Pelodiscus sinensis: one gene and its partners. The protein of the gene in region 2 purifies or fractionates together with the protein of the main gene of each other region. This does not show direct contact. Links are inferred from orthologs where the notes say so. Each region holds a gene or a part of one and is shown on either strand. Other genes may lie near its edges. The genes, in order: EBNA1BP2, NCL, POLR1C and STAU1.

The links.
Region 1: the proteins of NCL (region 2) and EBNA1BP2 purify together in Homo sapiens (affinity purification with mass spectrometry; 3 studies listed by BioGRID and IntAct, with this or other methods). This does not show direct contact. The link is inferred for Pelodiscus sinensis from reciprocal best matches to the Homo sapiens genes NCL and EBNA1BP2.
Region 3: the proteins of NCL (region 2) and POLR1C purify together in Homo sapiens (affinity purification with mass spectrometry; 3 studies listed by BioGRID and IntAct, with this or other methods). This does not show direct contact. The link is inferred for Pelodiscus sinensis from reciprocal best matches to the Homo sapiens genes NCL and POLR1C.
Region 4: the proteins of NCL (region 2) and STAU1 purify together in Homo sapiens (affinity purification with mass spectrometry; 4 studies listed by BioGRID and IntAct, with this or other methods). This does not show direct contact. The link is inferred for Pelodiscus sinensis from reciprocal best matches to the Homo sapiens genes NCL and STAU1.

Annotation. Positions count from the first base shown.
Region 1 is NW_027465825.1:545,707-553,496, forward strand, and holds the start of EBNA1BP2 (putative rRNA-processing protein EBP2), read left to right. Parts: upstream 1-4,619; 5' UTR 4,620-4,754; intron 4,755-6,041; 5' UTR 6,042-6,049; coding exon 6,050-6,118; intron 6,119-7,790. Other genes in the region: CFAP57 (cilia- and flagella-associated protein 57), read right to left, coding at 4,392-4,548. UniProt on the Homo sapiens protein: Required for the processing of the 27S pre-rRNA.
Region 2 is NC_134720.1:50,310,530-50,318,422, forward strand, and holds the start of NCL (nucleolin), read left to right. Parts: upstream 1-4,789; 5' UTR 4,790-4,906; coding exon 4,907-4,924; intron 4,925-5,931; coding exon 5,932-6,042; intron 6,043-7,614; coding exon 7,615-7,864; intron 7,865-7,893. UniProt on the Homo sapiens protein: Nucleolin is the major nucleolar protein of growing eukaryotic cells. It is found associated with intranucleolar chromatin and pre-ribosomal particles. It induces chromatin decondensation by binding to histone H1.
Region 3 is NC_134713.1:139,251,644-139,259,016, reverse strand, and holds the start of POLR1C (DNA-directed RNA polymerases I and III subunit RPAC1), read right to left. Parts: upstream 3,236-7,373; 5' UTR 3,204-3,235; coding exon 3,135-3,203; exon of another isoform or gene 3,131-3,134; intron 2,421-3,130; coding exon 2,349-2,420; intron 1,134-2,348; coding exon 1,026-1,133; intron 155-1,025; coding exon 22-154; intron 1-21. Other genes in the region: protein YIPF3, read left to right, coding at 3,697-3,780, 4,012-4,212, 4,571-4,677, 5,517-5,562, 6,366-6,458. UniProt on the Homo sapiens protein: DNA-dependent RNA polymerase catalyzes the transcription of DNA into RNA using the four ribonucleoside triphosphates as substrates.
Region 4 is NC_134728.1:20,553,643-20,561,875, reverse strand, and holds the start of STAU1 (double-stranded RNA-binding protein Staufen homolog 1), read left to right. Parts: upstream 1-5,228; 5' UTR 5,229-5,392; intron 5,393-8,233. UniProt on the Homo sapiens protein: Binds double-stranded RNA (regardless of the sequence) and tubulin.

The DNA of each region.
Region 1 (7,790 bases), on a different chromosome or scaffold from region 2:
CTAGGCATATGAAGCACACACGTGTATACATGCCTCCACTGGGGGTGTTAGCAGGGACTGCATTCTCATTAGCACAGTGCACAGCAGCAGCTAGGCATATGAAGCACACACGTGTGTACACGCCTCCACTGGGGGTGTTAGCAGGGACTGCAGTCTCATTAGCACAGTGCACAGCAGCAGCTAGGCATATGAAGCACACACGTGTGTACATGCCTCCACTGGGGGTGTTAGCAGGGACTGCAGTCTCATTAGCACAGTGCACAGCAGCAGCTAGGCATATGAAGCACACACGTGTGTCCATGCCTCCACTGGGGGTGTTAGCAGGGAATGCAGTCTCATTAGCACAGTGCACAGCAGCAGCTAGGCATATGAAGCACACACGTGTGTACACGCCTCCACTAGGGGTGTTAGCAGGGACTGCAGTCTCATTAGCACAGTGCACAGCAGCAGCTAGGCATATGAAGCACACACGTGTGTACACGCCTCCACTAGGGGTGTTAGCAGGGACTGCAGTCTCATTAGCACAGTGCACAGCAGCAGCTAGGCATATGAAGCACACACGTGTGTACACGCCGCCACTGGGGGTGTTAGCAGGGACTGCAGTCTCATTAGCACAGTGCACAGCAGCAGCTAGGCATATGAAGCACACACGTGTGTACACGCCTCCACTGGGGGTGTTAGCAGGGACTGCAGTCTCATTAGCACAGTGCACAGCAGCAGCTAGGCATATGAAGCACACACGTGTGTACACGCCTCCACTGGGGATGTTAGCAGGGACTGCAGTCTCATTAGCACAGTGCACAGCAGCAGCTAGGCATATGAAGCACACACGTGTGTACATGCCTCCACTGGGGGTGTTAGCAGGGACTGCAGTCTCATTAGCACAGTGCACAGCAGCAGCTAGGGCATATGAAGCACACACGTGTGTACACGCCTCCACTGGGGGTGTTAGCAGGGACTGCAGTCTCATTAGCACAGTGCACAGCAGCAGCTAGGCATATGAAGCACACACGTGTGTACATGCCTCCACTGGGGGTGTTAGCAGGGACTGCAGTCTCATTAGCACAGTGCACAGCAGCAGCTAGGCATATGAAGCACACACGTGTGTACACGCCTCCACTGGGGGTGTTAGCAGGGACTGCAGTCTCATTAGCACAGTGCACAGCAGCAGCTAGGCATATGAAGCACACACGTGTGTACATGCCTCCACTGGGGGTGTTAGCAGGGACTGCAGTCTCATTAGCACAGTGCACAGCAGCAGCTAGGCATATGAAGCACACACGTGTGTACACGCCTCTACTGAGGGTGTTAGCAGGGACTGCAGTCTCATTAGCACAGTGCACAGCAGCAGGTAGGGCATATGAAGCACACACGTGTGTACACGCCTCCACTGGGGGTGTTAGCAGGGACTGCAGTCTCATTAGCACAGTGCACAGCAGCAGCTAGGCATATGAAGCACACACGTGTGTACACGCCTCCACTGGGGGTGTTAGCAGGGACTGCAGTCTCATTAGCACAGTGCACAGCAGCAGCTAGGCATATGAAGCACACACGTGTGTACACGCCTCCACTGGGGATGTTAGCAGGGACTGCAGTCTCATTAGCACAGTGCACAGCAGCAGCTAGGCATATGAAGCACACACGTGTGTACACGCCTCCACTGGGGGTGTTAGCAGGGACTGCAGTCTCATTAGCACAGTGCACAGCAGCAGCTAGGCATATGAAGCACACACGTGTGTACACGCCTCCACTGGGGATGTTAGCAGGGACTGCAGTCTCATTAGCACAGTGCACAGCAGCAGCTAGGCATATGAAGCACACACGTGTGTACACGCCTCCACTGGGGGTGTTAGCAGGGACTGCAGTCTCATTAGCACAGTGCACAGCAGCAGCTAGGCATATGAAGCACACACGTGTGTACACGCCTCCACTGGGGGTGTTAGCAGGGACTGCAGTCTCATTAGCACAGTGCACAGCAGCAGCTAGGCATATGAAGCACACACGTGTGTACATGCCTCCACTGGGGGTGTTAGCAGGGACTGCAGTCTCATTAGCACAGTGCACAGCAGCAGCTAGGCATATGAAGCACACACGTGTGTACATGCCTCCACTGGGGGTGTTAGCAGGGACTGCAGTCTCATTAGCACAGTGCACAGCAGCAGCTAGGCATATGAAGCACACACGTGTGTACATGCCTCCACTGGGGGTGTTAGCAGGGACTGCAGTCTCATTAGCACAGTGCACAGCAGCAGCTAGGCATATGAAGCACACACGTGTATACATGCCTCCACTGGGGGTGTCAGCAGGGACTGCAGTCTCATTAGCACAGTGCACAGCAGCAGCTAGGCATATGAAGCACACACGTGTATACATGCCTCCACTGGGGGTGTTAGCAGGGACTGCAGTCTCATTAGCACAGTGCACAGCAGCAGCTAGGGCATATGAAGCACACACGTGTGTATACGCCTCCACTGGGGGTGTTAGCAGGGACTGCAGTCTCATTAGCACAGTGCACAGCAGCAGCTAGGCATATGAAGCACACACGTGTGTACATGCCTCCACTGGGGGTGTTAGCAGGGACTGCAGTCTCATTAGCACAGTGCACAGCAGCAGCTAGGCATATGAAGCACACACGTGTGTACACGCCTCCACTGGGGGTGTTAGCAGGGACTGCAGTCTCATTAGCACAGTGCACAGCAGCAGCTAGGCATATGAAGCACACACGTGTGTACATGCCTCCACTGGGGGTGTTAGCAGGGACTGCAGTCTCATTAGCACAGTGCACAGCAGCAGCTAGGCATATGAAGCACACACGTGTGTACACGCCTCCACTGAGGGTGTTAGCAGGGACTGCAGTCTCATTAGCACAGTGCACAGCAGCAGCTAGGGCATATGAAGCACACACGTGTGTACACGCCTCCACTGGGGGTGTTAGCAGGGACTGCAGTCTCATTAGCACAGTGCACAGCAGCAGCTAGGCATATGAAGCACACACGTGTGTACACGCCTCCACTGGGGGTGTTAGCAGGGACTGCAGTCTCATTAGCACAGTGCACAGCAGCAGCTAGGCATATGAAGCACACACGTGTGTACACGCCTCCACTGGGGATGTTAGCAGGGACTGCAGTCTCATTAGCACAGTGCACAGCAGCAGCTAGGCATATGAAGCACACACGTGTGTACACGCCTCCACTGGGGGTGTTAGCAGGGACTGCAGTCTCATTAGCACAGTGCACAGCAGCAGCTAGGCATATGAAGCACACACGTGTGTACACGCCTCCACTGGGGATGTTAGCAGGGACTGCAGTCTCATTAGCACAGTGCACAGCAGCAGCTAGGCATATGAAGCACACACGTGTGTACACGCCTCCACTGGGGGTGTTAGCAGGGACTGCAGTCTCATTAGCACAGTGCACAGCAGCAGCTAGGCATATGAAGCACACACGTGTGTACACGCCTCCACTGGGGGTGTTAGCAGGGACTGCAGTCTCATTAGCACAGTGCACAGCAGCAGCTAGGCATATGAAGCACACACGTGTGTACACGCCTCCACTGGGGATGTTAGCAGGGACTGCAGTCTCATTAGCACAGTGCACAGCAGCAGCTAGGCATATGAAGCACACACGTGTGTACACGCCTCCACTGGGGGTGTTAGCAGGGACTGCAGTCTCATTAGCACAGTGCACAGCAGCAGCTAGGCATATGAAGCACACACGTGTATACATGCCTCCACTGGGGGTGTCAGCAGGGACTGCAGTCTCATTAGCACAGTGCACAGCAGCAGCTAGGCATATGAAGCACACACATGTATACATGCCTCCACTGGGGGTGTTAGCAGGGACTGCAGTCTCATTAGCACAGTGCACAGCAGCAGCTAGGCATATGAAGCACACACGTGTGTACATGCCTCCACTGGGGGTGTTAGCAGGGACTGCAGTCTCATTAGCACAGTGCACAGCAGCAGCTAGGCATATGAAGCACACACGTGTGTACACGCCTCCACTGGGGGTGTTAGCAGGGACTGCAGTCTCATTAGCACAGTGCACAGCAGCAGCTAGGCATATGAAGCACACACGTGTGTACACGCCTCCACTGGGGGTGTTAGCAGGGACTGCAGTCTCATTAGCACAGTGCCCAGCAGCAGCTAGGCATATGAAGCACACACGTGTGTACACGCCTCCACTAGGGGTGTTAGCAGGGACTGCAGTCTCATTAGCACAGTGCCCAGCAGCAGCTAGGCATATGAAGCACACACGTGTGTACATGCCTCCACTGGGGGTGTTAGCAGGGACTGCAGTCTCATTAGCACAGTGCCCAGCAGTGCTCTGGGGCCCTCTCTCGGTACAGACGGGGCAATCCCGGGTAAGAAGGGTCGGGCGGGAGACTCTTACCCGGGATGAACTTCTGCCAGCGCTGCTCCAGGTGGTACTTGAGGCAGCTGTTCCCCGAGGGGTAGATGATGATCTGCTCGTCGAAGTAGCACACGCAGTTGGCCACGCGCGAGCGGAGCCCGAAGACGTGCAGCGGCTGGGCCACGATCACGGACATGGTGGCTCCGCGCCGCGGGGCGAGAGACACGGGGCTTCACTCGGCCAGCACCAAGCGCCTGGTTGCCATGGAGACCCAGCGCTTCTGACCCGGAAGCGGAAGTGAGCATGCGGCGGCGGCCTTGGAGAGGCCGGAAGTGAACTTTCGAGGCGGCGCGGGCTGCGGCGGGTCCACGCGCGTGGCAGGGGCAGGAGCTGGCTGCGGAGGTAAGAGCGGTCGCGCGCTGACTGCAAGGCCCACGGTGCAGCGCGCTTGGCCGGCACGTGCCGTCGCGCCCCAGGGCCGAGCCCCTGCGCCGCGGCCTCGCTCCTAGCGCAGCCCGGGCGCCGCGGCTGCTCTTCTAGGCGTCCGCGTGACGCTGCTCCCTCCGCGGCTCCCAGGGGAACAGGCGGGCGGCCAAGCCGCGTGTGATTCCGATGGCGCTGCTGCAGGGAGAGCGGCGAGCTGTTGTCTCTAGATGTCATGTATGGTAACCTGAAGGGTTATCTGCAGTAACAAACAGAAAGGGGGGTTACACACGTGGCTTTACTACTGTTAACAGTCGCAGCATTAAAAGTCTTTGTTCCCTATAAAATGACGTACTCTCTAAAAGTCAGCTCCTCGCACGCAACCACTGACATTTTCAGCAGTTACACAGTTACTAATTACACATATTTGAACATCCCTAATCCCTGCCTGACAGGCCCCGCGCTGGGACCATGTGTGCTTCTGTGCCGTGAGCTCCATGCTTGTGCCTCTATGTACTGCCCCATGCACAGTCTCACGGCTTCCATTGGTTGGAAACTGGCCAATGGGAGTTGCTGGGGCAGTGCTTGTGGATGGTTTGCTCCCCAACAAGCATGTGGCAGAGAAACAAACATGGCCCTAGCAGCCAGTTACTTTGAGCAGTGTGTGGGGTATGACAGGCAGGGAGCCTGACCAAGAGTCCTGCTGGGATGCTGGTCATGAGACACTTAGGATAAGCATTTCCTGGCTAGATCTGTGCCTGGCACCCTACTTCTGCACACAACCCCTCTGTCCAAGACTCTGTACCCTCTCCAAAACCTTTTCTCCAGGTCAGAATCCTCTCCTGCAGTCATACTCCCTCCCAGATTCTGCACCCCAATCTCCTGCCCCAGGTCACAACCTCCTCCTTCACCCAAACTCCATCCCAGACACCACACCCCTTGCTGTACCCCAATCCCCTACTCCGAGGTCCCTTCTGCACCAAACCTCCATCCCAGACCCCACATTTCCTCCATTAGCATGGAAGAATATGGCTCTTGACCACTTACCAAATTCTTGGAGTACCCCTACCTGAATCTAGCATCATGTCCCTGCACAGGGAATATGACACCATCCACTCTGCAATCAACCATCTCTTTTTGGCCAAGCTGGGTACAAATGAGACACTTATACATCCTTATGCAGGTCTGTAGATACAGAGGTGAATGCAGTATGAGAATTCAAATTGAACAGAGTACATATCATCTTTATCTCTTTCTTTCTTCCAGTTAAAAAGATGGCAGATTATGAAAATCAGTCGTCGTCAGAGTCTGAGTCAGAAGAATCTGTCATCACCGACAAAGAGGTAAACTTCATACCGACAGGCTTGAAAAATATAGAAGACCCTCACAATTTGCAGAATTGTTATTTGCAATTCTGCATATTTGTGGGTGTCTCCTGGCGAGGGATGTACTTGTGTAGTTGACTAAATGATTAACACGCTTATCAGTTAACATTATCTACTACACGCCACACTCCCCTCCCCATCTCCTTTAAGGTTTAGCAGGCTGGTTCAGTCCCAGCTCCCACCTGGTATCAATCCCTGTGACAGCTCTTAGTGCTTATAGTGCAGAGCCGCAGTGGGGATTGATACTGGGTCCTGGTGCAAGCTGGGACTGAGCCAGTCTGCCCGCATGCCGGCTTTTAGTGCCAGGACCGGTATCAACCCCCCCTTGCCACTTTGCAGTACAAGTGCTTGTAGTGCAGAGCCACAGGAGGGGTAGTTGGTGGATTGAGTGGTAACAGTGCTATCCCTTATCAATTAGTTGTGTAGTCAACCAAGTTTTTGTTTACTACACATTTAACAGATTTACTCGCTTCTTAATATCCTTACTCCAGGCTTGAGTGGGACACGGGGGCCAGCAGCCATGGGGGACTTACCTTGGCTCCCGGCCTCTGCAGTGAACTCACAGTAGTGAGTTCCATGGTGAGTTTGGAGGTGACTGGGAGCAGTGACTCCCAGCATTGGTGAATTTCGCCATTCGCAGTGGTGCCAAGAATGCAGCTACGGCAAATTGCAAGGGTTTCCTGTATTTCTCAATGCTGTGTGGGGAAAAAGAGAGAGAATGCAGATGAGAACACATAACACTATACGAGGAAAGGAGTTGTGGTAGAGGGATAAGTTACAATGTCAAGCGTCCCCTATTAGACTAGCAATGTTCCACCACAGCATACTGCAGGGGTGGGCAATAATTTTTAGTGGAGGGTGGGGGCGGCATTCCAAGAGTTTGGTAAGTGGTCATGGACTACACTTCTATGGAGGGGTCAAAATGTTGTACCAATAAAAGCAAGCGGGATCTTATGAGAGGGATAAGGCAAAAAGCCACATTTATTGTAAAGATAAGAATAAAGAATAAAGAAAAGATAGAAGCAAACAACGTTTTTTAACTACTTATTCCTATCACTACTTAACCTTTATACATATACATATACATATATATAAACATTCATTCAATCATTCATCCATTCATTCAAGTTCTATGTATTTGTTATAGTTACCAGCCTGGAAGTTGCTTGTGACAGAATACTGGCCAGGTATTCTGTACACAAGTGATGGTAGTGGGGAGCGAAGTCCTGATCAGATGCACATCTGAAGCTCCTGGTAGGCTGTCAGCAGAACCTTGGACTCTGACTCCATAGTCTTTTAGTCCAGTTCTTATAGGAATTTCTTCCTATGCCAGTCTATGGAAATTGCTGCATCATGCTGATGTCCAGGGTGGCTGTCAGGTGCTTGTCAGTAATCTCATAGGGTGGACCTCCAGTACTTGGTTTTCTCCACTTGACACCTTTTGGTTGCACTGGCACCTGACGCCTTCTTCAGCCCTTTGTTGCTGCATTCTCAGGCTGGCACCTCTCAAAACCATTCATTCATCATCCAAGCACTCTCTCTCTTACATACATTCCCTAATTAATGTTTCACATACAGTATTTTGTATAATAATAACTTTACATATACAAGAGTTGTAGTTACAAAAAGT
Region 2 (7,893 bases):
TGGCAAGGCTACAGCAGCTCCGACCCAGGCACCCCCCACCTGTCCCTCTTTAATCAATTAACCAGTTAAACATGGTTGACTGGTTAACCAATGAAATGGGATTTTACATCCCTAGCACAGACATGGGCAAATGATAGTCAACATTTTGTCAGTTAGTTCAGGAGAAAATCTACTGGCCTCCCGGTCTACCCACCACTTGCAACATGATGCTTGCTTTGACCACGGCTTGTCCTTTTGTGCCCTGTTGAGTCAGACGTGGCCAGCAGCAGGCCCTCTACCATAATTAAAAACATTGTTAGACACAATTTAGTGTTCTAGTAAAGACAAGCCTGTGCTGAATTACAGTTTTGCCCTTTTCCATCCGCTGTAAATCCCCAGAAAGAATAAAATAATAGCGACAAGAAAAGTGAGAAATTCTTTCCCCTTCATCTCAAGGGAATGTTAACTATGCTCACAGCTTCTCTGCATTTGTCAGCTCAAGCAACTCGTGGGTTATGAAGATCTGCCTCCTGCCTTATATTTTGGGCCAAAAAACCAGTTTTTATGATTTTTAAATTAAAAATAGAGGTTCTGACGCCTCCTCCTGGAAAACCCTGAGTGAGAGATTTAAACTCCAGCCCCTTGCAGATTTAGCTGATTTGCATGTCAGGCAGATGCAATCTTCCTTTTTCTGTCACACTCTCTACTTACATGTTGAGTTGGTTAAAGTTGTTACATTGCAGCCTTCCGGTACAGAGTGGGCGGGGAATTAATGCCACAGAGATGGAGAATATAGTGACTAATACGTCCTAGGGAATTGTGATGTCACAGAAAATGAAGTGATAGGTGCCACTGACAGAAGGTGTTGTAAGGATATGTCTACACTTCCAGATAGGGGTGACATTTTATAGATTAAGCTGTTTGAGACGGGGATTGCTTCTCACTGGCTACGTCTACACTGGCCCCTTTTCCGGAAGGGGCATGTAAATTTCACTAGTCGTCGTAGGGAAATCCGCGGGGGATTTAAATATCCCCCGCGGCATTTAAATAAAAATGTCCGCCGCTTTTTTCCGGCTTTTAAAAAAGCCGGAAAAGAGCGTCTAGACTGGCCCCGATCCTCTGGAAAAAGTGCCCTTTTCCGGAGGCTCTTATTCCTACTTTGAATAAGAAATAAGAGGAAGTAGGAATAAGAGCCTCTGGAAAAGGGCACTTTTTCCGGAGGATCGGGGCCAGTCTAGACGCTCTTTTCCGGCTTTTTTAAAAGCCGGAAAAAAGCGGCGGACATTTTTATTTAAATGCCGCGGGGGATATTTAAATCCCCCGCGGATTTCCCTACGACGACTAGTGAAATTTACATGCCCCTTCCGGAAAAGGGGCCAGTGTAGACGTAGCCACTCTGTTTGAAGAATGCCATGCCTAATGGGCTCTCGACAGTGTTGTCAGCTAAAATGTACTGGATTTATACAGGTTGCACTGTGAAATCTTAGCTGTTTTGTACAGAATAGGATCTACCAACAGCAAAGATTATTTAGTGTGTATAATGGAATCTGTCATCTGCATGTAAAGAGATGACTAAGGAGGGTCCATGATAGAGTTTTATAAAAGCATGACTGGTGTGGAAAAAATGAATAAAGAACTGTTATTTTCTCTTTTCCATAACACAAGAACTAGGCGGTTGCCAAATGAAATTAATAGGTAACAGGTTTAAAACAAACCATGAAGTTTTTCTTCACTGTCAACCTGTGGAACTCCCTGCCAGAGGACGTTGCGAAGACCAGGACTTTAACAGGGTTCAGAAAAGAGCTAGATAAATTCATGGAGGTTAGGCCCATCAATGGCTATTAGCCAGGATGGGTAGGAATGGTGTCCCAAGCCTCTGTTTGTCAGAAGCTAGGAATGGGTGACAAGGGATGGGTTTATGAAGGGGATGGTTTGATGACATAACATGATCTTGGTAACTAATTGACCTTTCACTATCAATGGTAAATTGGCCAATGGAGGGATGATAGGAGTTACCCAGGAAAGGTTCTCTATAGTATCTGGCTGGTGAGTCTTGCCCACATGCTCAGGGTTTAGCTGATCGCCATATTTGGGGTCGGGAAGGAATTTTCCTTCAGGGTACATTGGCAGAGGCCCTGGAGGTTTTTCACCTTCTTCTGTAGCATGGGACACGGATCACTTGCTGGAAGATTCTCTGCATCTTGGGGGTCTTTAAACCATATCTGAGATATAGGTGAGCGGATTATTTCAGGAGTGGGTGGGTGAGATTGTGTAGCCTGCGTTGTGCAGGGGGTCAGACTAGATGATCATAATGGTCCCTTCTGACCTTAAAAGCCTATGGCTGCGTCTAGACTGGCATGATTTTGCGGAAATACTTTTAACAGAAAAGTTTTTCCGTTAAAAGTATTTCCACAAAAGCGCATCTAGATTGGTATGGATGCTTTTGCACAAAAAGTACTTTTGCACAAAAGCATCCGTGGCCAGTCTAGACGCGATTTTGCGCAACAAAGCCCCGATCGCCATTTTAGCCATCGGGGCTTTTTTGCTCAAAACAGTTCTTCCCTGTCTACACTGGCCCGCTTGCACAAGTATTCTTACACAAGAGGGCTTTTTCCCGAGTGGGCGTGGGAAAGTATTTGTGCAAAAAGCACTGATTTTGTACATTACAAAGTCAGCGCTCCTGCGCAAATTCAAGCGGCCAGTGTAGACAGCTTGCCAGTCTAGAGGCACCCTAGACAAAATCTTGCCAGTCTAGAGGCACCCTCCAAGTCTATGAGGGATAAATCACTGGTCTGTTCATTCCCTTTGGGGCACCTGGCATTGGCCACTGTCAGAAGACAGGACACTGGGCTAGATGGGCCTTTGGTCTAGGCGTTCTTATGTGCCACGGCTCTTACTTTTTATGCCATCTAAATTCAAGATTGCACAGGGTGGTGAGTGTGATAGGCAGGGGGCGGCCATCACTGCCTTCCACCTGGTTCATGGATGCACCGTCTCTTCCCCAAGACCCTAACCTCCTGCTGTAGCTGTGCTTCCTGGTGAGTTTTCCTCATTTACTCTATTGCTCCCTCCCCCCCATCCCTTCCTCAGTAAGTCCCCACCACTTGCTGTGTCCCTCTTCTCCGCCACATGCTCCATCCCCGCTGTGCCAGGGGTGAGGAGGGAAGTGGCAGGCAGCACGTGAGGAAGCGAGCAGTGGGGGGAGGAGTGAGAAGGATGTGGTGAGCAGCAGCAGCAGGAGTGAAGCACGGAGGCTGGGGGGGGACGGGACCTGAGGTGGAGTGTGGACAGGGTCAGTAATGCTATGGTGAAGACTGGACACGGAGCTAGCCTCCCCCAGGGGAAGCGTCACCCACTGCCCATGCAAAATTATCTCACTTGCCATTGGAAGTGAGCATAACCCACAGTCTGGCCTGTGTTCCGCAGGTATGTCTATACATACTGCAAGTGACAGTGTGATTTGTAGCACTGGTAACCAAAGACAGTAAAGCACACATGGAGGCTGTGTCTCGACTGGTCAGTTTTTCCAGAAAATCAGCAGCTTTTCCGGAAAAACTTGCCAGTTGTCTACACTGGCCGCTTGAATTTCCGCAAAAGCACTGACTTCCTACTGTAAGAAATCAGTGCTTTTTGTGGAAATACTATGCTGCTCCCGTTCGAGCAAAAGTCCCTTTTGCGCAAAAAGGCCAGTGTAGACAGCTGAGATTAGTTTTGCGCAAAAAAGCCCCGATCACGAACATGGCGATCAGAGCTTTTTTGTGCAAAAGCGCGTCTAGATTGGCCTAAAAGTGCTTTTGCGGAAAAGCGTCCGTGCCAATCTAGACGCTCTGTTCCGAACATGCTTTTAACGGAAAACTTTTCCGTTAAAAGCATTTCCGGAAAATCATGACAGTCTAGACATGACAGTCTACCGTAGCCGGACAGTGGTGGCAAAGGCTTCATCACAGACTAGCCTAGCTGGGCAGCCTGGGTATGCATTCTGATTGCTAACTTGTGCCACTGTTACCTAAACTAGATTAAAACTAGCACAGGAATGCACTGTACTACAACTACATCTTCACTTGCATTGTTGACTTACCCCTCCAAAGAACAAGATAGAAACAGAGTACTGAGGAGCAAGATGGATAAAGAAGGAAGGGAAAAGATAAGGAAGAAAATTGGGAGAGAGAAAATAGGTTAATCTTAAACTCTCACAAACCAAAACAAAGGGGGGAGTCCTTATCCAAAGTCAAGATTTGACCCTGATTATATGTGAGGAACTTTGCTACTGTAAGGAACCCAGATACCATGGTGATGGGCAGTAGCATAAAAGAGTGTAGATCACTAAGAAACCTCCCTCTCTAAGTCATCAGCAGCGCAAATCGCCCTGTCCTAGTCCCTGGGCGGGGGTTCCTATGCAGCCACATGCCCCTAGGGTTGGGTTGATCGCCGGCCCCAGGCTCTTCCTGTCTCCCCCCATTTCCCCCGCCATGGGGTAAGGACCCGACCCCTGTGCTCGCAGCGTGAAGTCCCAGACGCACGTGGTTCCCCCAGAGCCACGTGCTGCGCCCTTCCTTTTTCCCCATCCCCTCCCCCATCCGAACCCCATCCGCGCGCAGCCGCCTATTGGCTATATTGCCCCTCCTCCCCAACGGGCAGGACCTCTCGCTGTAACGCGCGCTCCCATTGGCCGGTGGCAAGCCCGCGCGGATTGGTGTGAATGCCCCCCCCTCGGAGCTCGGCGATTGGGCGGGCGTGCGGAGCTAAGCGCGACGCGCGTAGGGGTTGGCCGAGCGGGACCATGGGGGGCGGAGCGAAGCATAAGCAAGGGGGGAGGCTGGGGGAGGGGCGGCGCTCACTCTTTCACTTCAGCGCAGCACACAGTCGAGTCGCTGCTCCCGCCGCCGCCTGTCGCACCCGGATCGGCCCGCGCCGCCCCGCCGCCATCATGGTAAAGATCGCCAAGGTGAGGCCCGCGGCGCGCGCCAGGCCCGGGGGCCCCGCGGCCGTTAGGCCCCAGCGCGGCGAGCCGAAGGCCCGGGCGGACTCGGCCAGGCCCCAGCCCGGAGGGGGGAGGGAAGAGGCCGCTTGGCGCGGGGGTTTCGGGACTCCCTGAGGGGGGGGATGGTGCCTCCCCCCTCCCCCGTTAGGTTTGGTGCGGTCCGCGCCGCTGCGTTCGGGGCGGTTTCTAGGCCCCTCTACGGCCGTTGGGGGGGGGGGGGGGGAGTTGTTTCTAGGCTCCCCCTCGGGGCTCGCGGCGGAAGCCAGAGGGTCGGCGCGCGCGCGCTGGGGAGAGGAGGGGGGCGGAGCCGGAGGCGCGCGCTGCCGGATGGGAAGGCCTCAGGCTGCGTGGGGCGGCCACGTGGTGTCCCCGGCGCGGCGAGCACGCGGCGCGGCCTGTCCCGCGTGGTTCCAGGCCCTTTGTGGCGCCCGGCGCTTGCGAGGCCCCGGCTGCACGAGCCGCGATAGGGGGCGGGCTTGGCCCTGTCTGAAGGGGGGGGGGGGGGCAGCGTGTCTATACACCAGGGATTCCCCCCCCCCTCTCCATCCACTGTCTCATTAAAGCTCTGCGCCTGCGCGCACACCGCAGCCTCGGCGGGTTTGCGCTCCGCGTGGCTTATTCCCCCCCCCCCCCCCCCCCCGCAGGAGTTGGTCCAGTAAAAAAATAATTTCTGCAGTCGCCCTGTGGCTCGTGAGCAGGCGTGTCACGTGGTGTGGGAAGCGCCTGGGCCCCTAATGCGGGGGACACAGGCCAGCAGGTTCCTAGGTTTGATGTGGACGTGCAGGGGTGCCCCCCCCCCCTCCCGTTGTAATCAACCACTTGCAAGGCCGGTTTGGAAGCAGTTTTGCGAAAAAGTCAAAATGGATCTTGACTTAAAGTGTTTTATGGCTTTGGGGTACTTTACGTTTAAAAAAATATATTTCTCTACAATGGAAGCTTAAGTGGGTGACCTCTCATGTGCGTTCTTCCAGAGTCCGAAGAATCAAGCCAAACAGAAGAAAGTGGCTCCTCCCCCCCCAAAAGATGTAGATGATAGCGAGGAGGAGGAGTCCTCCGAGGAAGAAGACAGCAGTGAGGAAGAGGTGATCATTTTACATCTGGATTCTAGCTTGCTATATGTTACTTTGGGAATTGGGATGTCGACACGTAGTTAACTAAACAATTAACTAAAAAGCCTAAGTTTACCAAAATGCAGGACAATGTAGCACTTTAAAGACTAACAAGGTGGTTTATTAGATGATGAGCTTTCGTGGGCCAGACCCACTTCCTCAGATCAAATAGTGGAAGAAAGTAGTCACAACCATATATACCAAAGGATACAATTAAAAAAAAAAAAAAAAGTTTACCAGTTCATCCTGTCAGCTACATGTGGCGCCCCTCCTCTTCTCCCCCCCCCCCCCCCCCCCGGCCTTTGTTACGAAGCAGAGGCAGTTCTGTAGGGAATTCGGATCTCCCCACAGACAGGGGTTGCTGCTGCTCTGCACTTTTGCCCCCATATCAGACAGTAAGGGGGGGGGGCAAAGTGGCACGGGGGCTGCCCAGGTGTGGGGCTGGAGTGCTCTGGATACCGGCTCCACCCCAGGGACTATCGAATAGTCATGTATCTGCTTAAAAAAATGATGCCATTACGCAACTATTCAGTTACACGTTACTGAAAATTAATCATTTGAGAAACACAACTCAGAAGCCTTCACTGAATGAAATAGAGGAATAAATAGATTGAGACAGTGACTTCAAATGTAGCACTGTAAAGCTTTGAGTGTATTGAGGGAACACTTCAGTGAACTAATTATTTTCCAATTTGTTCTTTTCCCATAAAGCTAGGGGAGAATACTGGGATGTAAAAGCTTATCCGGTAAGCCTCATCTGTAACGGCTGAGGTTTATTAGTTCCGGTTAACTGGTGGGGGCTGGAGCACCTTCCCGCCTATCCAGGACAGGGAGCTGTGCCAGGACCACCGGAGCAAGTGCTGTCCATGGCGGTTCCCACCCCCTGCAGCTTACACGATGGCTCCCAGGAGCAGGGCTGGCAACAGAGCCTTCTCCCTGGGAGTGGGACCAGCAGCAGTTTCTGCTGGCTCCACTCCAAGGGAGGCTTTGCTTGGGCTTTGCAATATAAGTTTTATATCGCAGTGCATGCAGCACATGTAATTCATTATTTTTAGTGGCTATGGGTTCACATTTTTACATCCCTCGAATACTCAAGAGTTGCTAGCTATGGGTATTTTATCACAAACAAAGTAGCTGTTAGTAAGGGTACCTGGTAATACTCAGCGCTTACCAAGCACTTTTAATATTGGTTTCTCTTTGCACTTGCTAACCCCACCACCACAAGAGGTCCAAGATGTGGAGGGAAGCGGCGGGGGGTGGGTGATGCAGAAACAGGCATAGGTGTGGCACAAGTTCATATGTAACAGGGAGATTTATATTTTATATGTAAATGAAGGACAGTCGTTTAGTCCGTGGTGAGCCGCCAAGGTGGCTCTATGGTATAGTCATTGGCCCTCTTTCTAGGTGCTCCAGTAGAAGAGCTAGCTTGCTGAATGGTTGTGGTGGATAGGTGGTTGTGGTGGGATGGGTAGTGATATCATTCATTAGCTGAACAATCAATTTAGGAGTTGCGTATGCTCATTGGATTTGTCTTGTTTCCCTAAGGGTGTTCCTCAGAAGAAGGTGGTAACCCCAAAAGCAGCAGCTACACCTGGCAAAAAGGCTGCCACTCCGGCCAAGAAGGCAGTTGCCACTCCAGCCAAGAAGGCAGTTGCTACACAAGCCAAGAAAGCAGTTCCCACTCCAGCCAAAGGAGCTAAAAATGGAAAAAATGCAAAGAAAAAAGTGATGGAAGAGGAGGATGAGGAGGAGGACGAGGATGATGATGACAGTGAGGAGGATGAAGATGATTCTGGCAAGTCAAAATTCACTTTTCTGTTAAAT
Region 3 (7,373 bases), on a different chromosome or scaffold from region 2:
ATCCTCTGCACAGAGTCTCACCTTGGTTCTTATATTCAAAGAGGCGTGGGTCAGCTCGGATGGGGATGAGGCCCAAGCGATGGGCCAGGATCTCATCCTGCACTATTGACGTGTTGTTGTACACAAAGACCTTCTCTACAGCTATTGTTGGCACCTGAGGGAAAAGGAGACAGGCAGTAAGTACCCCAGCCATGCACTCTTTGCTAAGCACCATTCCTTAATACCCAGCCAAAAGTTTTTTTGCTCCACCCCACCCTCTTTGGAGTAAGTCAAACTCTTGCCCTTCACAGATACCATCACCAAAGGAGGATCTAGATCAGGATCCTGTATCTTCTTCATTCCCTGCTTTTACCACTTTCCCTCTCTCTGTTTGCTGGTTCCCTCCCAATAACTGTGTTGTGTAATTGCTAATAATTTGAATGTTACCACTAACTTTAATAGGATTTAGTATTACCCATTATGAGCAGTTGTAGAACATGGCCCTATACCAGAGACATAGATCTGTGCATAGGCTCTTTAATAGCTATTAGCAGCTGGACTATACTTCTCATCCTAGAAATGCAACAATTTCTGTTTTAGCACTGGTGCTCTCTTACACAAACTCATTACATAAACTTCTAGTTTACAGGGTCAAAGACTGTACTACCTGGAGCACACTGAGTTCTGTAGTCCATGGAATATCCTCAGTGCACTTCAAGCCTATTCTCCACCTCACTGAGTTCGGAGATTCTGCCTTCTCTATACTCTTCAGTCACAATCTCACCTTTCCAAAGATCTGGGTCTCACTCCCCCCAACACTCCCAGGAGCTAGTGCCCCAGCTGGCCTGCCTTCAAACTTCTTTACCAGTTAACACAATCTAGCTTCTGGGCAGAGAAAGAGAAGGTTAGGATACATTTTTTGTCTATCGCAAAGATGCTCAACATTAGCCAGGTCTAGCAGTGAGAAAAGACATGACAGGATTTGATGGGACTAGCAACTGGGTCATGCAGCCCTGGCATGAAGATCCGGAAGCCTCTGTGGGTACCTCAGCGAGCAGGATGCGCCGGAAGGCATTAGCAATGGCTGCGTCAATCCCCACCATGTCGAATTCCAGCGTGTTCTCATCCATGTGGATCACGTCCACCCGGAAATTCTGTAGGGCACACGCAAGGGAGCAGTCACCAGGTACCAATTCACGAGGAGGGGCTCAGCCTTGTTGGCTGCTGCCAGGTGCAGAGGGGTATTGAGCAGGTGGCTAATGGCCACCTGCTATGGGGCTGCAGAGGCCAGCCACAGGAGACCCCAATGTCTCTCCCCCCCCAACCCCCGCCGCTTGCAAGGCCTTGGTCCCTCACAGGTTCCCTGCTAAGTTCCCTCTAGGGTGCATGCCTGCACAGGCGTGCACAAAGAATTTGAAGCCCGCCCACCTCTTCATCAGAGCCACTGGAAGGTAAGCTGCTGGCGGTAGGCTCTGTGGGAGACTGGAGGGATAGGGTTGCATGGTGGCTGCCCAGTTGCTCCTGGGATAGGCTGTATGGTGGGTAGCTGCCCTGTGTGCTGGTGCTGGAGCCAGCTCCAGCCCCAGCCCCAGCCCCGGTACACAGGGTAGCTACCAGCGACATAACCCACCTAAGAAGCAGCTGGGCAGCCACCATGCAGCCCTGACCATAGCTCCAGCCCTTCCCCACAGCTGAAGTTGTTGGCCACGGCAGGCCATGTGGCAGCATGGAGGGTGGCTGCTTCAGGGGCTGGGGCCTGCTCCTGACCTTCCCCAGAGCTGGAGTTGTTGCCAGGGCTGTGTAGTGGCTGCCCAGCTGCTTCCTGGGCAAGCCATATTGCAGGGGAAAGGTGGGCTGCTGAAGCTGGAGCCGGGTTGCTGGGCAGCGGTTGTTCCTGAGGCCAAGGCTGGAGCTGGGCTGTGGTGAGGCTGTTCCTGGGGCTGGGGCCCACTTCATCCCTCTTCCCACCCCCACACGTCTCTTCTCCCCTCAGAGTTCCCTACCCCTGCAACCTCCTGCCAGCCCCAGCACCTAATTCCCTGCAAACCCTGGGCACTGGCAGCAGCTTCCCTCAGCCTCAGGCAGGGACTCTCAGCCAGCCTGGGGAAGAGCAGCGAGGGGGCAGAGTCTGCCCTGGGAGCAGAGCTCAGGTCTGCATGCTGGGAGAGTCTCTTGAGAAGTATCACCACTGGTGGGGGATATGGTGACACACATCCGAACAAGTGCACGTGACCTCATTATAGGCACAGAAGACAAAACTCACTTCGCTCATGGAAGGAAAATATCTTAGAGGGAACACTGGTTCCCTGCCCCCTGCCTGCTCAGACCCCCTTTCTTCCCCCCATTAAGGGTCCCCAGTGGCTTCTTACCTGTTCGAACTTGGCTTGGTCCCAAGCGTCGTCATAGCCAGGGTAGTTGCCAGGAAAGTCCGTGGTGTGAACCTGGAGCAGAGGTGGGCAGTAATTTTTGGGGGTGGGCCACTTCATGAATGTTAGTCATGGGCTGGCTCAACCCCCCTCCGCCAGAAGGGGCAGGGCCTGGGGCAAAAGGGGAGACACTGGGGACTCGCCTCTCCCCGGAGTTGTCTGGGGCTGGAGGTTCTGAAGTAAAAACACCGCAAAGGGCTCGGGGCCCCGGCCCTGCTGCTACCACCACGTTGCCCGGCAGCCGCCCGGGCTTGCTGCGGCCATTGGAAAGGCTCGCGGCTCCGGCCCCTGCCGGGCAGTGCTGCGATCGGGAGTCCCGGGCGGCCGCCAGGCAACACGAAGCGGCAGGGCCGGGAGCTGCAGGCCCTTTAAACAGCGGCAACTTCAAGGGCTCCCGACGCTGCTGCTGCATTTGCCCGGCTACCGCATCTATTTAAAGGGCGCGCGGCTCCGGCCCCTGCCGGGGCAGCACCACAGCTCGTGAGCCCTTTGGACAGGAGCCTTCTGCCCGAGCCGCGCCTGGAAACGCGGGGTCAGGGCCACAGGGCGCGACTAGGAAGCGGCCAGACTCCCTCCCTGTCAGGGGGCCGCATCTTGCCAGCCCAGCCCCGAGCTGGAGCGAAGCAGGGGCCGCGTGCCAGGGGCAAACCGCCCCCAACCGCCGCTCACCAAGACCCGGGCGCGCGCCCGGCCCCCTCCTGCCTCGCGCGCGGCCCCCAACTCACTCACGTTGCGGACCCCGAACTCCCCCAGTATCACCCGGCTCCGCATCTCCTCCACGCCGCCGCGCGCCGCCATCTTCCTGGCGCGCCCCCAGCACGTGACACGGCCACAATCCGGCTCTTCTCTGCGCAGTCGCATTAGTGAATACCCACTGCCCTGTCACGTGATACGGACCTTTCCTTCCGCTTTGGCGGCGCCGGCGCCTTAGCCCGACTTGGTCTTCACCATATTGGGTGTGGCGTTGACCTAAGAAACAGCCACTACTGCTATCGCGGGGTTGTGGGTCTTCGCCGCTGGGTTGACGCTGTCTTGATAATAAGGCACCGCTCTCCCCAGACCCTTCTCCCAGAGGCGCCTTCATGCTCGCTCTTATGCCACAACCAAGATGGCGTCGAGACCTGGTCGCTAGTATGAGATCTCGCGAGAGCAAAGGCGCATCCACGTCCTCGGCCGAAGTTGCCGAGGCTTCTGACGTCAGTCACGTCAGTCTCCAGACTAGGCTCCCCGGAGCCCCTGCAGTGAGGCGCAGAGCGGCCGGGGGCCCCGGTGCCCCCAGCCAACGGGGAGGATGTCCGGGCCCGGGGGGGCGGCGGCGGGCGGCGGCAGGCCCGGGAGCGCCGCGGAATGGGGCGGCTTCGAGGACAATATGCAGGTGCGGGGCTGGGCAGGGAGGAGGGGGGAGCCGGGGGGGCCCTGCGGTTGTCAGCGGTGCGGGCCGCTGCTGTGCCCCCCCCCAACACAACACCCCCCCCCCGGCTCTGCGCTTCCCCGGCTTGGGAGCTAGGGTGGCGCCTGCCCTGCTGCGGGCGCCGCGGCGCTGGGACGGGCGCTCCCCGGCCCTGGCGCTGAGCCTGACTCCCCGACCCTTTGCCCTGGGGCGCAGGGAGGCGGCTCCGCTGTGATCGACATGGAGAACATGGACGACACGTCTGGCTCCAGCTTCGAGGACATGGGCGAGATGCACCAGCGCATGAAGGAGGAGGAGGAGGTGGATGCAGAAGCTGCTGCGGCAGACGAGGAGGATGGAGAGTTCCTGGGCATGAAGGGTTTTAAGGGACAGCTGGGCCGGCAAGTAGCTGACCAGGTGAGCAGAGCGCTGCAAGAGATGGGGGGCGGGCTGTGTTGCCTTCTTGTGTCTGGCTCTGACTGTAGTGAGCTATAGATGTTGAGTCCCATTTTAGGTCCAGGTAGCCATTTCCAATATGACCCTGAGCTATCTCACCTTTGGTTTCTGGGTGCTACAGCTTGAGTCCCATTCTGGGCTTGATGTCTTTTGTCCTACTTTCCCCTAGGCTTTGGATGGGATGCTGATCACTCCAAAGATGTTTAATTTTCATTCTGGTTATTTAGCCACTGGATGCTTTGGTTCCAGGAGATGCGCCTCAGAACGGCATTGCAAAGGGAATGTTTAGTCTGCTACAGTTACTGATTTCTCTCCCCAGATGTGGCAGGCAGGTAAGAGACAAGCGTCGAAGGCCTTCAATCTCTATGCCAACATTGATATTCTCAGACCTTACTTTGATGTGGAGCCCATCCAGGTTCGCAACAGGTGAGCAAACTAAGCACAGGGGCAAATGACTTAGGCCATGCAGTTATCTCAGTCTCGCATCCTCGTATGAGCAGCCCGGTCCACTACTATGGCCCCTTCATGGGGTACTGTGAAAGGCCTGTCATGTATTCCTGGTCCAGTATAACGGGGTAGAGATGCAACCTGAACAGGACAGAAGGGTCATGCCATAAAGTGAGGAGCATCTCCCACTGTTTCTCACATAATAAAGACCTGGATAGCTCCTAACTAATCCACGTCTGCTTATGGACTTGCTATGGAGATAGCCTTTGGGGGAAATTTGTCCAGGATCCTCCCTTGTTTACCCTTCATTATTCCTAAAGGGCTACCCTCAGTTCATCCTGAGATGCATGTTGTTTCATGTATAGCCTAGTGCTGCCATTCTAAGTGTAAGATACAGGGTTTGTGGAGCTGAACCAGCAGCTCCTTTAGCCTTTCATTGTTACTGCTCTTGCATACAGTGTGGGGAAAGGGCATACATAGCCCTACAAAACCTCATCTGTCCCACAAGTGCAACACTTTGCACATCTCCTTTATAATAGCCATGGTGTCACCCTGCTCTCGGGACACCAGGCAGAGAAAACTGTTTGTGCACAGGGGGATAGGATTGCAATACAAATCCTCTTCCCCTCTAAGGCACTGTTTCCAGTCTGGTGCCTGGCTGTTAGTGGGACTGGCTGGCTTTGTTGAGGGTCAGAGGGGAAGAGATATGGAGCTTTGTATCACTGATCAGGGAATGGAATACAGCATCTCCTGCTTCTTGGGTTTCTTGTTAACTTTTTCATTTCCTTCCTCACTCTTGATATTTCTGTGAGGTGCAGACTGCTGGAATCCATGATCCCCATGAAGATGATTAATTTTCCCCAGGTGAGTTCCACTGTGGAGAGCTTTTATTCTATATCCTGAGTAAATGCGCTTTAGAAAGTACAGGAGCACTTAATCGGTTGTTAAATATTTCTAACACACACATCTCTCTATCAGTAGGCTGCACACCTTTGCCTGAGGGGAGTTCAGAAATTCCAACCAGCACCAAGGGGACAATCGGGCCCTGCCCTCTACTCACATTCACCTCCAAGTTCAATGCTCTCTGAAACTGTCAGTTTGCTAAGGAATAAGCCTGTCAGCAAAGTGCTGCTGACACAGTGCTACAGACAGCTCTTGCTCACTTTGTCAAGAAGTGAATTACAGCTGTCTTGGGCCTGAAAGCAGGCTACCCTGGGCTCTGACTCAGACTCCTTTCATTTTGCCTTCCATTCTTTCTCTGCCCCCCTCTCCCAGAGTAGGGAATTAGTTAAAGCACTTTGCCATGCATGTGCCAGGGTGACTGATTATGTATGAATTGTGTGAGAGAGATGTTGTTGTATGGTGCCTCTGCTAGATTTTCTGGTTAATTCCCACTGTACCACACCCCGTCTGTACCTGTCTCTTGCAGTGGGACAAGCATGACTTTAGCTCCTGATCTGACTCAATAACTCTGTTAAGCTTCTTCCTCAAGTCTTACTTATGTGATTGTTTCTCTTTGGTAGCTATCACCAGCCTTTTGTATAATTGCTCAGGTCAGCAAGTGACCAGAGTATGAGCTAAGTCTGGGGTACTTCCCAGGTAATCTGAATGTGGTCTGGCTTTCTGCAGCACTAACCAAACCCCTCTCTTCTCTGTCACCCTTGTAGAAGATTGCAGGTGAGCTCTACGGCCCCCTTATGCTGGTCTTCACATTGGTGGCTATCCTGTTGCATGGGATGAAGACTTCAGACACTATAATTGTAAGGGAATATTTCAGTTTCAAATCAGGTTGGCACCAGGCTTTGAACTGCTGTCAGTTACATGGGGTGCTTCTATTTTGAGTGTGACTTAGAAATGCATTGGTGACAGGAACCTTGATGTGTGATAGGGCCTATTCTGGGGCTGTCTGGGAAGTGGGAAAAAGCCTATTGCAGTGGATGAACTAGCGTAGGGTGTAGTGCAGCTGGAGCATTCCAGAGATGCACCCCTGCATCAGAAATCCAGGACTGGATGGTGAGGATTGGGAGGAGCCACCCTAGCTTGGGACAGGAACAGGATGCTGTACTGGGGGTTACCAGGGAGTGGCTAGAAAGGTACCAGGGTGAGTTGTGAGTGGGATTGAGAGTGATGGAGCTGTGGAGGGGGCAGTATATTGAGGTGAGTGGGGGGCTAGGGGGGCTAAGGTGTTGGGCACTGCTGGGAGTGGGATGTGTGTGAGGGCTGTCAGGATAAGTTGGAGCTGGATGGAAAATCATTGTCAAGCTGGTCTGATCAGCCAGTTAAATTAGTTTTATGGGGCAGCACTACAAATATAGCTGGAACATACCTGTAAGCACTGCTTTTATTTAAAACTTGTAAAGATTATTGTGTGTCACCTTTGGGCTTTTTTACTGACTAAATGTGAGTTTTGGATGTACTTTGCTATTTATCTTTTATAAGCCAAACTTAAACTGAGTTATGCATGTTTTATGTTATGATACCTGTATTTATTACTGAAGTCTCATCTACTGATAGAGAAAACGTTAGGACATGGAGGCTTTCTGTGGTGATGTCACACAAGATCATCCCTAAAATCTGTCACGTGACAGAATTACCTACTTGAGGTCACTTCTGCAGGCCTCTTGTGCTATACAGTTTAGCACTGTATCACTGATCCTCCCTCTCTGGATGCTGCT
Region 4 (8,233 bases), on a different chromosome or scaffold from region 2:
GGCGTGGCCGTTCGCCCACCGGGCGCCAGAGGGCGGGGACACTTGCCCCCCCATCGCCTTGTGCCCGGGGGCGGGGCCCCCTCCAAGCGCCGCGCGCCTGGGGCCGGCGCGCCCCCCCCAGCACCGCACGCCCGGGGCTGGCACCCCCCCCAAGTGCCGCTCGCCCAGGGCCACCGCCCCCTCCTAGGGCCACGCGCCCAGAGCGCTGGCAGCCAATCTGCGGCACTTCCGGGGCCGGCGCTCACCGTGCGCCATGCACCCGGGGCCGGCTCTGGTATCATGCATGCGCCACGTGCCCAGGGCCAGGCCAGCCCCGAGCACTTGGCGGGCGCCGTGTTGGGGACCACTGATCTAAATGGATTTCGGGTTGCATACGAGTGCAATGGCCGAGACAACAGCTTTCCTGAGGAGTACCACACACTTTGGCCGAACTGTTCTCTGAGTCAGTGCTGCCAAAGCACCCACCACCAAGCACGAACACTGCTTTGTAGTCACCTAAGGTGGAGCACCCACGGGAACACTCCTCGAAGGGAAGGTTACTCACCCTGTGTAGTATCTGGAGTTCTTTGAGATGGCTGTCCCCATGGGTGCTCAACCATCCACTCTCCTCTCCTTGGCTTCAGATCCAACTACAACCAGGTCAAAGAAGGAACTGAGGAGGTGGTTGACTGTGCGCGTGGGATGACCATTCCAAGCATCACGTGCCAGCACTCTGCATGCACAGACAACCGCCTCCTTAGTTCCAACCAAAGGGGTACAGCTATAAAAAAAAATCTGCCAACCATGGGCGCAGCAGCACTGGCACATCTAAGGTGGAGCATCCACGGGGACAACTGTCTTAAACTCCAGTTACTGCACAAGGTGAGTAATCTTCCCTTATAGATAAACAGTTTCTTGGGGGAGGGGAGTGTTTGGGGGAGGACAGACTGCTATGTGTGCAAAATGAAATCCTATATGTAAACTAAGCAAATAGGAAATAGCTGTCTAGGCCACGGCCATGCTTCTTGTTTCTGAATGCCTTTTACATGTATTTTTTGTATTCAAAGGGTATAGACCTTCAGTTGATACACACTTCAGCCATGAGGATATTGTAAGTTATGGAACTTTTTCTGAAGGAAATACCTGTCCAACTCTGTTCCAACCCCTAGTTATTGGTTGTAATTATACAGGCATCTTCTCTATAACTTCAGTGTGATCAGACTTTTTGGAATTTGACAGGTGTGAGAATAAAAATTAATCCTGTTTAATGATGCTAGTCATCAACTTCAAATACTGAATAATCAGAGAAAAACAAATCTCCATAAACTGTGAGGTCTTACTTTTTTAATGTTCAACCATTAGTTTGGAAATGTGTGCATGTAAGACTGCATACTGTTTTGAAGCAGGAGCCACATAGTTGTCTAGTGTATAACATATTGACTGCCATTTTGGAGTCAATAATTAATACTGTCAAATCCGTAAAACACCTGCTAAATTTTTCCTTACTGCGTTTTTTTATTCTCTAGAAGTATACAGTAATAGCTTTTTAAGTAGGAACTGTTAAGTAAAAAGTTCCTTTCTTTTTGTTCAAATAAAACAGTGAGGTATAAAGTTCAGTGGAGCACAAGTGTAAGGCCAAACAACCAATCATAGTGATCATGTTCCTGTCCTAAAGCCTTTGTAATTGCAGTGCAATATTTCTTAAATCATTTACAACTAATTACTTTTATTATAGTAGCATAAAGCAGCAGTGGGTCTTACAACCCCATTTTAATGGGGCTCCCAGGGCTGGCTTAGACTTGCTAGATGGTTTATTAGATGATGAGCTTTCGTGGGCCAGACCCACTTCCTCAGATCAAATAGTGGAAGAAAGTAGTCACAACCATATATACCAAAGGATACAATTAAAAAAAATGAACAAATATGAAAAGGATCTTAGTGGATTGTTCACTTTCAGTCCTTTGGGTACGATGTCCATTTTCTTGCACTTGGATAGAAAGATGATGTCTGTCTGTATCTGTGCGAGTTTCTTCATATGGTTGATGGATTTCCATTCCAAACGGCTAAATGTAGTGCCTTGCATGTCCTTTGGTATATATGGTTGTGACTACTTTCTTCCACTATTTGATCTGAGGAAGTGGGTCTGGCCCACGAAAGCTCATCATCTAATAAACCATCTTGTTAGTCTTTAAAGTGCTACATTGTCCTGCATTTTGCTTCAACTACCCCAGACTAACACGGCTACATTTCTATCACTATTAGACTTGCTGGGATCCAGGGCCAAAGCCAAGCCCCACCAGTCAAGGACAAACGTATTGGGACTTAGGCGACCCTCCTGATGTTGAAGCCCTTGGGCTTCAGTTTTCATAGAATCACAGAATTGGAAGAGACCTCAGGAAGTCATGGAGTCCAACCCTCTGCTAAAAACAGAACCAATCCCAACTAAATCATCCCAGCCAGGGCTTTGTCAAGCCAGGACTTAAAAACTTCTAGGGATGGAGATTCCATCACCTCCCAATCCAATGCTTCACAACCCTCCCAGTGAAATAGATTTTTCCTAATATCCATCCTCAATCTCCCCCACTGCAACTTGAGATCATTGCTCCTCATTCTGCCATTTTTCACAATTGAGAACGGACTGTCTCCATTCTCTTTGGAAACCTGCCTTCAGGAAGTTGAAGGCTGCTATCAAATCCCCTCTCGCTCTTCTCTTTTGTAGACTAAATAAGCCCAAATCCTCCGCTTCTCCTCGTAAGTCATTTGCTCTGGCCTCCCTTTTTGTTGCCCACCGCTGGACTTTCTCCAGTGTGTCCACATCCTTTCAGTAATAGGGGGCCCAAAGAATTGGATGCAATTCGCTAGATGTGGTCTCACCAGTCCTGAATCAAAGAGAATAATCACTTCCCTAAATGCTACATCTACACTGGCACGTTCTCATGCAAAACTCTTTTGCAGAAGAGTTCTTCTGCAAAAACTCTTCCAGAAGAAAGCATCTACACTGGCATGTGCTTTTGTTCAAGAGATGTGCTTTTGCGCAAGAGCATCCATGCCAGTGTAGATGCTCTCTTGCGCAAGAAACCTCTGATAGCCATTTTAACCATAGGGCTTTCTTGCTCAAGAAATTCATGGCCAGTGTAGACAGGAAACTCTTCTGGAAGAGCTCTTGTGCAAGAGGGCTTATTCGTGAGCGGGAGCGTCAGTTCTCATGTAAGAAGCCCTGATTTTATACATTAGAACGTCAGTTTACTTGCGCAAGAACACGCGGCCAGTGTAGACAGGCAGCAAGTTTTTGTGCAAGAGCGGCCAGTATTGTGTGAGATCGCACCAGTGTGATACAGCCTCAGTCTATAGGGAGCTGCAAACCTCTTTCATCCACTGGGGCAGGCTGGGGGGAAGGTTGAGGCAGGGAGCCTTCTGGGCTACCTAGACCTTGGTATCCTCCCAGCCTTCAGAACCACCTGGTGTGTGTCTGTCTGAAGATGATCTGTGCCATCATATGCCACCAGTACCTCTCTGCCATGTATATTAGTCAAACTGGACAGTCCCTATGGGAAAGAATTAATAGACACAAATCAGATATCTGAAAAGGCGACATACAGAACCCGGTGGGGAACATTTTAACTTGCTCAGGCCCTCATTAATGGATTTCAAAGTCACTATTGTTTCAGGCCAATTTCACAAGCCAACTACAGGCAGTCCCCGAGTTACGCGGATCCGACTTATGTCGGATCCGCAGTTACGAACGGGGTTTGCTCCGCGTCTCCCTGGTCTGCTGGAGACCAGCAGACCAGGGAGACTGGGAGCAAAGCCTCTGAGGACGCCGGCAGCGGGACAGCCGCAGCGCGTCTGGGCTGTCCGCTGCCCGCGTGCTCCGCGACTTTGCTCCACGTCTTCCTGGTCTACTGGTCTCCAGCAGACCAGGGAGACATGGAGCAAAGCTGCTTCCTGTAGTCAGCCGCTGGTCAGTTTTAGCAGTGGCTGAATCTGGACGCCAGTTCCGACTTACATACAGACCCTATCTTGTACGTAACCCGGGGACTGCCTGTATACAGGGAAGCCTTAGGAATCAAACCTGTAAATGAAGTTAAGTTCTATCACAAAGGTATGAATAGAGACGTTAGCTGGATGGCCAACTACATTCCTAATGACATCAAAAAAATAATTTGCACCTTCTCTATCAGCTTCATGTACACTCTATCTCTTCTCCCCCTCCCTTTTCCCCTCTTCCTCCGTGTGCCCTATTTATTTAGAAACTGAACCTTTCATCGGAAGAAGTGGGTTATGTTATGTCTATAAAAGCCCATAATGTCATCTACATGTTTTTGTAGTCTTTAAGGTGCTGCAAGGCTATTTGTGGGGTTTTTTTTTAAGTTTTTGTCGTTACAGACTAACTTGGTTACTCTTTTGAAGTGTCTGTCACTCTGGTGGCAATTTAAAGGGCCCAGAGCTTTGGCTCTTACCACTGTAGTTGCAAGGCAGCTTCCCCTGCCTGCCTCCCCCGGTTGGTAGGCCTCAGTACAGTGTCACGGTGGCACTACAGCTTCCCCAATGCAGAAGTCAATACTAGCGCCATTGCTCTAGGGACCTGGATGTCTTATCTTCAGGTTCAACGTCGCTGAATTATTTCCTGGCTCCAACCCACACGGCCCCCTTGGCTCCCTCTCCCCTCAGTGCCATGTGGCAATCGCCTCGCCCGTCGCTCTCTGCATTTCCACCCCCTTAACCCCCCACGACAGAGAGAGGGGGTGTGTGTGTGGGGGGGTCCCAGCCCCCACAAAGGCCCCAGTGGGGGGAAGGGCTTGGAGCACTGCGGCCGTGCCTGCCCCCCGCAGGCTCCCGAACCACGCGGCGGTCGGATAAGCCTGCCCAGCCCCCATGAATCGAAGCTTCAGGCCCTGCTTGCTGAAAGGCTCCGGGTACCCCCAGCCCGGGGCCGCGTCCGGCACCGGCTTCACGGGAAAGTTTGACCAAGTTCAAGTCCCCCTCCCTCAACGGCGAGCGCCCGAGCGAAGCCGAGCATGCCGGGAGCTGTAGTCCCCTAGGAGGTGAGCTGGGCTGAGCGAGCGGTGTATGCCGGGAGCTGCAGTCCGGCCTGAGGCCTGCGCTCCGCGCCGGTCCGCCGGCGGATTGGCTGCGAAGGCTACAATGGGCGGTGCTATCCGGTACTACAGTCCTTCTGATTGGCTTCCTCGCTCCCGGCGTGGTGTCGTCACTTCCTCCCCGGCCGGGCCTGCCCCCGGCGCTCATTCTCTTTAGTGTTTGCCCTGTGTCCGCCGCCTCCCTTCGCCACTGCGATTTGCCCCCCCTCTCCCAGACCCCCACCCCCCGCCTCGGGACCCGGCCAATGGACTGAGACGCCCGCCTGCCCGCCCGCAGCACCAGCCGGCCCGGGAGCCGCAGCCCAGGCAGCCAGGTGAGGGGGGCGGCTCCGGATTCCCGGGCAGGGGGACGGGGGGAGGCGGCGGGGCCTAGCGGGGGTAGCGGCGGCTCTGGTGCCTCCAGCTGTGGGGTGCGCGAGGAGGCCGGCAGCGGGGCTCCTGCTGGGCGGGCGTGGGAGTCGGTGCTCGCTAGGGAGCAGCTCGGGCAAGGGCAGGATTCCCCTTCGCCTGGCGGGCATGAGCCGGACTCGTCTTCGCGGCGAGCGGGCCGTGGGGGGCCTGGCCTGGCGTAGGGCGAGGGGGCCTGGCTCAGGTTACAGAGCGGGGCCTGGCTGAGGCTTGTGAAGGGAAGCGGGCCGCGCGGGGTAGGATTCGGCTCCCTGTCCGTGGGGGAGGCAACTGAGGGGAGTATCCCGGGCCTCGCCCCGTTAAACGCACCGACCCCCAGGTTCATAGGCAGCTGCAGCGCAAGATCCACCCCCACCTCCCGCGCATAGCGCTAGAGTGGGTGTCAGCTGCAGCATCAGCCACCCCCTTTTCCTGTCGTGACACCAGTTTTTGGTAGCTGTAACAGCAACAGGTTCCTGGGAAAGCTCTGTTCCCCCGTTACGCCTGTGGGATAGGAGCATTTGTCCAGTCCGTACCTGCTATTCCATTGTGTTAGAGCCCCGGTAGACAGTATCTTGATGCACAGATGGAAAAAATATGTAGCACTTTAAAGACTAATGAGAGAGTTTATTAGGTGATGAGCTTTCATGGGCCAGACACACTTCGTCAGATCATATTCTAAAAGAGAATTGGCATTCCTGTATATAACAGCTTTATGTGGTGTGTTTTTTTTTTTTTTTTTTTTTTTTTTGCCTAAAGAGGTGGAAGAATGTGATGTGTGAGGATGGAGAGGTTAGATCACAGTCACATACACAAAAAATGCCAGACCATCAATATAATTCTCTATCCCCTGCTTGTGTAGCAAATGTGTAAAATAGATTCATAAAGATCTTCTGAGGTTTTTTAACCCTTATAATTCTCACTTTAACATACAACTACAGTAACTTGTGGCAATGGCTGAACTATGGCGGGGGAGGAACTCCTATATTTTTGAAATAGAAATGTCATTATAGTGTTAACTATTTAAAGCTAATTGGAAATCAGTTAACCAGGTAAAAAACTTGAGTGTAGATGTCCCCTGAATAATTGATTCCCTCCCTCATCCACACACACATACTTGCACACTTCCCTGTCCAAAATCCTTATTGGGTTATACAATTTCATTTTTAACAAAACTGTACTGTGTATGTGTGTAAGTTTAAAAAAAAACCCACTAACATCAATAGCTTTTGACAGCCAGGCTTCTCGAATGTTTCATATCTTCAATTTTTTTTTCCTGTGTTGGTCTCTGTCAAGTCAATCTGCAGATGTTAAACTATCTACAGATTTACCTATATCAGCACAATTGCACAGATACAATTACAGGATGAGAGGTAAATTTAAAAAGTGGGCTGCTTGTATCATGATGTCATTGAATAATATACATTTTATCCTACAAATGTCTGGATTTTTAAAGCCCCATTTAATAGTCTTTATTGGTAAATTTAGAAATTGTGAAAGTGGTTTGATTATTTTTGCACATTTATAATTCAAAAAAGAGGAGTTAATTTTATTTGTTATAACAAGACTTTCAACAGTTGCACTGATAAATTTTCATAGACATAAAGATATATTTATGATGCAGGTAGGTCTCTTGATTATTTTATTGGACTGGACTAATAACTAAAAAAAATGTGCTTGTAATGTTTTAGAAAAATAAATGTTTCATTTTAATTATTTTTGTGATAGCGTAAACTGTTAGCATTTAAAGGCTTACGTGTTATCTCAGTTATCATTAATCCACATCCTCTCTCCTGGGTGTTGTCTTCTCTGTTTGTGAAGCAATATGTAAATATCACCTATTTTAATTATTTTTAGCTCTATTTTATACTGACACAGATATTAGCTTTTGAGGGTTTTTTTTTTTTTTTTCTTTGATTTATAGAAAGTTGTCCAGATATGCAACCTTGCTCAGTTAGTGTTTTTGCATTCTGGTAACTCATTTTTTCCTGTAATTGATAGAGAACGAGAGGCCAGTGTCCTTTTTTGACAGGTATTTAATCTTTCAATAATAAATCTTTGTCTAGTCTACTTTAACACTAGTTATAAAAGTTAAATACTCAGTCCCATCAGAGCTGCTTCATACTGTAGGTTAAGCCATGGTCGCTGAGGTTTGATTTACACCTAAAACCCCGGTCAACCTAGTTATATTGTTCAAGGCTGGGGGAGGGGAGGGAGAGATTGACCCAGTTAGGTCATCGCTTTTGCCTGCCTTCCCCAAAGTGTAGGCCAGCGAAAGAATTCTTCCATCGACATAGGTACTGCCTCTTCTGTGAAAGAAAAAACATTATTTTAATGCAATAAGTGTCTGCAGCTGTTTTTCTATAGTATAGGCATGCCCTGATATAGATTATTGTGGAATATTTTGTAAAGTGATCTAACTCTTCAGAGCTATTGGAGTTTGTGGAAATTTGGACTTGAGGTTCCAATAATGATTTGGTGTAGAGGGGGAAGAAAGGAAAGGAGAGAGGAGCATCATCAATTCCTGCAGTATTTAACCTTTCATGTTTAAAAAAGTGTTAGCTTTTATAGTCATAAGGAAAATCCAACTTTGTAATGTGGTTCTGTCTTCCTGGGTTTGCAGACAGCAGACTTAATCGGTTTCATTGTTGCCATTGTGTTCTTACTACTATAAGTGAAACTGATGATCATGTTTTTGCCTTTGTCATGGCTACTTGGAAAAGTTGTGAACAGGCAGGATGATGAAACAAATGACACAAGGCGAATAT